Tribolium castaneum: one gene and its partner. The protein of the gene in region 1 purifies or fractionates together with the protein of each later gene. This does not show direct contact. Links are inferred from orthologs where the notes say so. Each region holds a gene or a part of one and is shown on either strand. Other genes may lie near its edges.

Region 1 (4,441 bases):
GCAGCTCAAACACTGCTAAAATGAATTACAACAGTGATGTGGCATTTCCGGCAGTCAAATAATTTGCTGATATTTTGTGTGTTGATTTTGTCCGCGGGTTTTATGTTACAATTTAAGGTATTGTATAACAACCACCAGAAGCATTTACGGATACAAGAGATCCACGAGAGAGTGAGTCAATCAGCGGCCTTGGACGCAATTAAACCCAATTTTGCAGATGACTGAAATCGCAGAAACTATGCACAGTGTCGAAGCGGTCGCGAACACCACTTCGGTTCTAGTTAGCAAGTTGGAAAAGACTGTGAAACGGAGGACGCTTAGGGGCAGATTAAAAAAAATTAAAACGAGGTGATGGTAATTTCCGTAAAATATTCTAACGCAAGCGCTTGGTCAATTCACACTTATCGCTTTTGTTTTTAATTTGTGTTATCACTGGAGAAGTCTAGCCGTTGTTGACTAATTTATTAAAATGTTGCGTGTGATTAGTTAATTAGGGAATAAGTCGCCATATGCAAACGTAGATGTTTTATATACGCATTTGTTTAGAATATGTGACAATAAATATATTTTTGTGTTTACGTGTTGTACAGGGGCATGCATTGGGGGTTGTGTGCATAGTCACCCTTATTTTCCAAGACTGAATGTGGGGAGCAAATCCACGGGTCACTTGTGGCGTTTTGCCACTCGGAAAGTCGTTTCTCCAGCTCCTGCATGATGTCTTTGTAGTCGCTCTTTCCAGCCAGATTGTTTAGTTCCACGGGGTCGTGTTTCAAGTCGTACAGTTCCCACTCGGGCCGGTTGTAGTACTGTCTCAGGGTCTTAAACCAGTACAGATTTTCCTTGTTTCTGGTGCGGTTCAAAATATCCTTCAATGATAAATTCAAGGCGAGTTTTGCGATAACATTACTCACTTGGAATGTTGGCGATAAGTAAAAGTCCTGATCGATCGGGAACGGCGCTTGGTAATTCAAATTATGAATCAATTTATAGCGGTGGGTTCTGATCATCCTCATTGGGTAATACATCGTTACTTCATGGAGATTATGACTCGCGAAAATCGCCTCGTTTGTTGTATTTTCCGGCTCTAGAATTGCCATTGAACCATAAAAATGTTACGACACAAGACATCAAAACCTTTAACTAGAAGTGGCAATAAGCTTTTCCCGGTCAGTTTTTTACTATTGATTTCGTTGCTCTCCTCTGTGATATTGAACCAATCAAGGACAGTTGGTACAATATCTAGGAGGCTGGTCAAGGAGTAGGTGACCTGATTGTGCCTTTCCTTGTGCAAAGGCGAGGAAATAAACATGGGTTCGGCAATCCCCGAATCGTATAAATTCGTGCGTCCGTTCGGAAATGGGGTCCCATTATCCGAACTGTAAATCACAAGAGTATCATCAGCGTGACCTGATTTTTCCAATTCTTCCAAAATTAAACCAACGCCTTGATCCAATCTCGAGATTGTCGTGTATTGATTGGCCACTTCACGCCTCGCCGCCTCCGTATCGGGAATATAATAAGGTAGCTCAAGTTCGTCCCATTGGTAATAAATTGGGCGCCAGTCCGGGATCAGACCCATGCCCACGTCCCCGTTGCCGAACCGTTGGCAGAACTGGCCGTATTCCGGGTGCGTGTGCCCGCAACGATGGGGGTCATGGAACGCAACATAGAGGAAAAATGGCCTAAAATTCCAGGTTTTGACTGGCCATGGGCACGTGCTAATTACTTGTCCGTGGAATTGTTGAGGAACTCTCTGGCCAGCAATTTAATCAAAGTGATATTTCGCCCAACTTGCAGGATTGAATTATTCTCCTCAGTCTGCTCGTAATCAAAACGATACGTATTTTTGGGGCCCACGTGTTTTTTACCGATAATTCCGGTGCGAATGCCGTTTTCGCGCAAAATGTTCGGCAAACTTTTCACGTTTGTGAAGGAATCGAAGTGGTTTTCGGCCTGGTGGAGGCCGTACATGCCATTCTGATGGGCCGGCATGCCGGTAAGTAGGGCCGAGCGGCTGTAAGAATGTGACTGCTCGAATTTGCCAAGTTTTGGGATAGGAGACGAAACGAGATACAAATTTTTATGATTATCTCTTACTATTGGGAAAATATCTGCCTGTATTGTTTTGTTAACAACTGCGCTCTCTGGCGACATTAATGGAACTATCGAAGACGGGAACATTTATTTGTATGACGTTTCGTATCCTAACTCATAGTTATCCGTAGTTTTGGGTTTACCTGGGCGAACAACTACTGACCGAGGTGTAGGCATTATTGAAAATTAGGCTGTTTTTGGCCAAGGCGTCCAAATTGGGCGTTTGGCAGATTTTGTTCCTGTAAGCCCCCATTTCGAAGCCGCCATCGTCGGCTGAAATGACGAACCGCCACTGGTTTTACAAATTCTTTATTGCAAAGTAGCCATTTTTATAATTATCGTGATTAACGTAACGCTAGTCTCAGCATTCTGTTTGTTCTAATTTTTTTAATAAATAAAAAAATCGAAAAAAAATGCGCCGCCCCTGTGTTTCTAACCTACATTTGACATGTCAACAAAAAATGTAAAAATCGCCGGATTTACGAATATTTATTACATTTCAAAAAAAGACAATGGTGCAAAAACGCCCGATTTAATAAATAGCAAAGTTTAATAAAGCAATTGTGTTTTTTTCCCCGGTGTGTCGGCCCCTAACCTGACTTTTTGACATTTGGCAAAATTGCATCATTTAAAACCCAGTGACGTGTCCATCTTCATTAAAAAGGTAAACAATCCCAAAACTCACCCAAAATCAGCAGCACATTTAATTGTTTGCCATTTTCAGCCCCAACTCGTGCCCAAATCACTAGTAGAACAAGCAAACCGGTTTTCCCCATCTTTCCACACAACGGAGCCAAATTCAAACATGCCACCAAAGAAAATTTTGTGTTTATTCGACATGGACGGCACCCTCACAAAACCCCGCCAAGCAATCGACCCCGAATTCGACGAATTCATCCAAACCAAAATCAAGCCCTTGTGCACCCTCGGCCTGGTCGGGGGCTCCGATTTCAAGAAAATCGCCGAGCAAATGAACGGCGAGGACGTCATTTTCAGATTCGACTACGTCTTCCCGGAAAATGGGCTCGTGCAGTATAAATTCGGGAAGGAGGTTGGGCGGCAAAGCATCCAGAAGTTCATGGGTGAGGATAAGCTTCAAATGTTCATAAACTACGTCCTGAGCTACTTATCGACGGTGGTCCTGCCGGTCAAACGGGGCAACTTTGTCGAGTTCAGGGCCGGGATGCTCAATATCTCGCCAGTCGGGCGCTCCTGCTCCCAGGAAGAGCGCGAAAGTTTCGAGAAATATGATAAGGAGTTTTGCATAAGACAGACGATGATTGAGGCCCTCAGGAAGAAATTCCCCGATATAGGGCTCACGTACGCAATCGGGGGGCAAATCAGCTTCGACGCCTTCCCTAAAGGGTGGGACAAGACGTACTGCCTGCGCCACGTCCAAAGCGAGGGCTTTGACGAGATTCACTTCTTTGGGGACAAGACGGACGAAGGGGGCAACGACTACGAAATCTACAATGACCCGAGAGTCATAGGCCACAAGGTCTCAGACCCGGATGATACAAGAAAGCAACTTGAAAAATTATTTGATCTTTAATTTTTTTTTTAATCATTCGCCAATATAATTCGGTTTTCGCTTCTCCTTGAACGCCTGTAGTCCCTCTATCCTGTCCTTGGTCGGTATCAGCTGAGCATAGCACGCCTCCTCGATCGCTAATCCCGAACTTAAGTCGACTTGAACCCCCTTATTGATGGCCTTTTTGGCCATTTGGACCGCCACAGGTCCATTCGGTAATATTTCGCGCGCCAACTCCAGTGATTTCAAATAAGCTGCGTCCTGATTGGCGTTTTGTGACACCACGTGGTTGACAACACCCAATCGGTGGGCGGTACCACCGTCGATTGTTCGTGCCGTGTATATCAATTCCTTGGCGATTGAGGGGTTGATAAGCCGGGGGAGTCTTTGGGTGCCTCCGGCCCCCGGTATTATGGCCAATTTGCCCTCAACTAGCCCCATTTTACAGTCACTTGAAGCGACCCGAATGTCACAAGCCAGGGATATCTCCAGACCTCCCCCCAAAGCAACGCCATCCAAGGCGGCTATGACGGGGATAGGGAGGTTGTGGAACTGGTCCATGAGACTTCGCAGGTTTGAGACGAATTTACCGACTTCCGCTTGAGGCATCGTTGCGCGTTCTTTAAGATCCGCTCCTGGAAAAAATATTAAAGGGGGGCTTCCAGCTTTGGAGTTATACCGGCACAGAAGACCCCCGGGACGTGGCTTCGCACTATTAATACGCGGGCCGAGGGGTCGAATGTGATTTTCTGGAGAGATTTCTGTAATTCGGTTACTAGGTTGGCACTTAAGGCGTTCTTTTGTTTGGGGCGGTTA
Region 2 (3,217 bases), on another chromosome or scaffold:
ATTAATATGCCTCTTATTCACGAAATTAAATTTTAATGGCGCATTAAATTTTAATTGAGCATTTTATATAAACTGGACATTAAATATTAAATTTTTAAACGATGAAATGTAATTTTTAGCAAAAATCAATATTGCCAACTTAATTTCTCAAAGTTATAGGTCACTTTCATGGCCAGAAATTTATTTGGCATTTTGTAGGTGGTGATGAGCCCATCAGGATTGTGGGTGTGGTGGGGATAGGTCATGTCCCTGGAATAACGAAATTGTGGCCCAAAGACCAGAAACCCTTCATTGCTGAAATTTTACAAGTGCCACCACCTTCACTCACCTCCAAAGTGGTGAGACTCACTTTTCGGGTTTCGTTGCTAACTTTTGGCGGTTATCTGGTGTACAAGTTTGTGCCAGTTCCTAAAATGCTCAAAGAGAATTCGCATTTGGTTATTCAGCACATTTTAACCAGTGTTAAGGGTAACTCTAATTTTAAGTATGCCTTACATTGAATTTTAAAATTGTTTTAAGCTTAAAATTGTTGCTTTTCTAATTCTAAGTCAAACATTCCGTTGTATATTTTTTTAATGGTAGGTTAAGGTGTAGTTCAAAGAGATTGTTATTTAAATCATAATATATTTCTAAAATATCATATAACTTGGAAGACTTGATGGCAGGATGATTTAAGTACTTGGGTTTGTTTGTTATTCACTGCCAAATTATTTGACATCACCGGCACATCGAAAGCCTAAATTTCCGGCCGAACTGTCTTTGGTATTGAAAGATCTTGCAGCGCAGCGATACCTCCAACAGTAAGACTCATGACAGAGGTAGGAGCCCCCTTTCTTCACTTTGGCGTCCTGAAATGTTATTCTTAATTATATGTTTTGTTATTGGTTGAAATAAAGTTTTGGCATAATATTAGCAGTCAGTAGTTAATTAGTGAAAAACAAGTTATACACTCCTTGATAAAAGTATACCAGACCAATTATAGTTTTTCCTTTAAAGTGTTTCATCTTACGTTTCGAAAAATTACAGTGTTTAGTTGAAAAACTACTACTTTTTAACTAGCACAATTTGCTGCGCTCACTCGTTTTGGCAAACATTATGCTCTTAAACAAAATCGATAACTTCATAACTAATTTCGTAAATAACTATTCAAATGTTCCATCATATTAATATCTTTAATGACTAAAAACAAATCTACGCGCCGATTTTTTCCAAGAAGTTAAAAAATAACCAGTGTTCACAAACCTACATTATTTTTCGGATATTCTTACTTTGGTGCTATTTTAAATGATACAGAAAGTTGCAAAAATGTTTGAATTTTAATTTGTTAGCTTCTATTGGGTTTAACTAATTTTTAAATGAGAATAGCTCGTATTTTTTTTCATAGCAATCAATTAGTCTTTTCTTTTTAAATTAGTGCCAGATATCACCAAATAAATTATCTTATTAAAATAATATAATAATATTTATTAACGTCTATCAGTAGGAGTCGTTTATGGCTCATTAAAGTACAGAGTTGTTTAATGAATTTAGGGATTTTTAGTTTTCAAAAGATTCATCGATAATGCGTGGATCGATCGATTTAATCATCATTTCTTCTTTATTTATTATCTATTATTTATTACTGTTACCAACTGACACAAAATTCCCTAAACGCCAATTTTTTTTTTTTAATTAAAATAAGAAAAGTATAAAAAATTGCATAAAATATTCGTTTTATAAAGGTTTTGGCGCACTCATCCTAACTTGGGATTCATGCTCCAAATCAACCCTTATAAAACTTTTTTTTAATATACTATTACGATACAGAAATCACGAAAACATTAAGTCCAAAATTTGTATTTTAAATTAAATGTCTCAATTTATGCAAAAATGAGAATTTCGTCTTATTTAATTCAATCTGTTTAAAAAAAAAAAATAATAAAGTAAACTTTTGCCTATTTTGCTAAGTTTTTTTATCTAAGCAGAAAATTCTAAAATTGTATATGGAAAACAAACAAAATTAGTAAATGGAATTTCACAATTTTTAAACAAAAATCAAACGCTTACAGCGTCCGTAAGATAGAGACTTGTTAGGCTAGGTTAAGTTAGGTCAAGTCAAGTCGAGTCAGGTTAGGGAAAAAAGCTATGAACCACTGGTGTAGGCAAAGCAATTTTTTATATGGCGCACAATAAGAAATTAAATTTCTTCAAAAATTATTATCTTGAAAAGCAAACACCATAATATGTAAAATCATCAACTTTTTCTACCAGTATTCATACTTTTACATATTTTTTGCATATAACAATACTATGCATCATTTGTCTAAAAATAACATAGAAAATAACAAAAACATTTGTAGTGTGTTATGTACCTAATGCAAAATTACTTTTTTGTTGAAAAATACTGATTTTTCGTATGCTGCTTATTATTCTACACAGTTAAATTTTAAGTTTCCTTTTGTTTTCAGTTATTTTGTTCACGAATTAAGTGATTTTAGAGTATACAGAAACGTCAAAGAAATGTAAGTAGGTAAACGGGAATAATTTACAAATTTTCATGGAAGGTTTAAGAGCTCTTGTACCTAACAGTACGCACTAAACACACCCCGCTAAAAGGTATATTTCCTGTGGATATTTAAGAAAGTGTATTAATCTATGGCTGAAATACGGATTTTTATAGATTAGTATACAAAACGACATACAAATATTAAAACGCTCCTCGATAGTTCCGTTAATGTCGCCAGAGAGTGCAGATATCTTTACAAGAAAAATGTATTTACAATGTTTTGAAAAATGTGGGACAAGGCGCATTTTTTTAAAAGTAGTTACTGAAAAATGAATTACAAAATGACATTTTTTTGATGCGATTTTGTGTCTCGTTTTGTCTCCTAGTGTATAGTTCCCCGTAGGCAGGAAATACTATACCGGGTGATCAATTTCAGTCCCAAACACCACACATATTTTCATTTCTAAGGTAACGTTGCCATTGGGAGTATTAAGCAAATTATAATCAAGAATAATCATATTTATTATACATAGTGTTCCGGATTGAAACTAATCACCCGGTAAAAACGAACATACAGGGTCATTCAACCAATTATCCTGAGTCCATTCCCAGACGTTCCCTGCCATATGGTGAAGTCCGAATTTGTTGGCGGGAAAACTATCAACTGGGGCCGTGGATAAGTAGCCATCCTCTGCAGTGTTTGTTAAGGGAAAGTCTCCTTGCCAGATATTG

What was found. The genes of interacting proteins can lie anywhere in the genome.
Region 2: the proteins of Sgsh (region 1) and formylglycine-generating enzyme purify together in Homo sapiens (co-immunoprecipitation; 3 studies listed by BioGRID and IntAct, with this or other methods). This does not show direct contact. The link is inferred for Tribolium castaneum from reciprocal best matches to the Homo sapiens genes SGSH and SUMF1.

Annotation. Positions count from the first base shown.
Region 1 is NC_087399.1:3,387,485-3,391,925, forward strand, and holds Sgsh (N-sulphoglucosamine sulphohydrolase), read right to left. Parts: upstream 2,900-4,441; 5' UTR 2,871-2,899; coding exon 2,780-2,870; intron 2,368-2,779; coding exon 2,238-2,367; intron 2,015-2,237; coding exon 1,727-2,014; intron 1,683-1,726; coding exon 1,135-1,682; intron 1,085-1,134; coding exon 912-1,084; intron 867-911; coding exon 576-866; 3' UTR 511-575; downstream 1-510. Other genes in the region: Pmm2 (phosphomannomutase), read left to right, coding at 2,900-3,646; methylglutaconyl-CoA hydratase, mitochondrial, read right to left, coding at 3,659-4,260, 4,305-4,441. UniProt on the Homo sapiens protein: Catalyzes a step in lysosomal heparan sulfate degradation.
Region 2 is NC_087398.1:15,119,886-15,123,102, forward strand, and holds the end of formylglycine-generating enzyme, read right to left. Parts: coding exon 3,061-3,217; intron 913-3,060; exon of another isoform or gene 849-912; coding exon 708-848; 3' UTR 605-707; downstream 1-604. Other genes in the region: traB domain-containing protein, read left to right, coding at 199-500.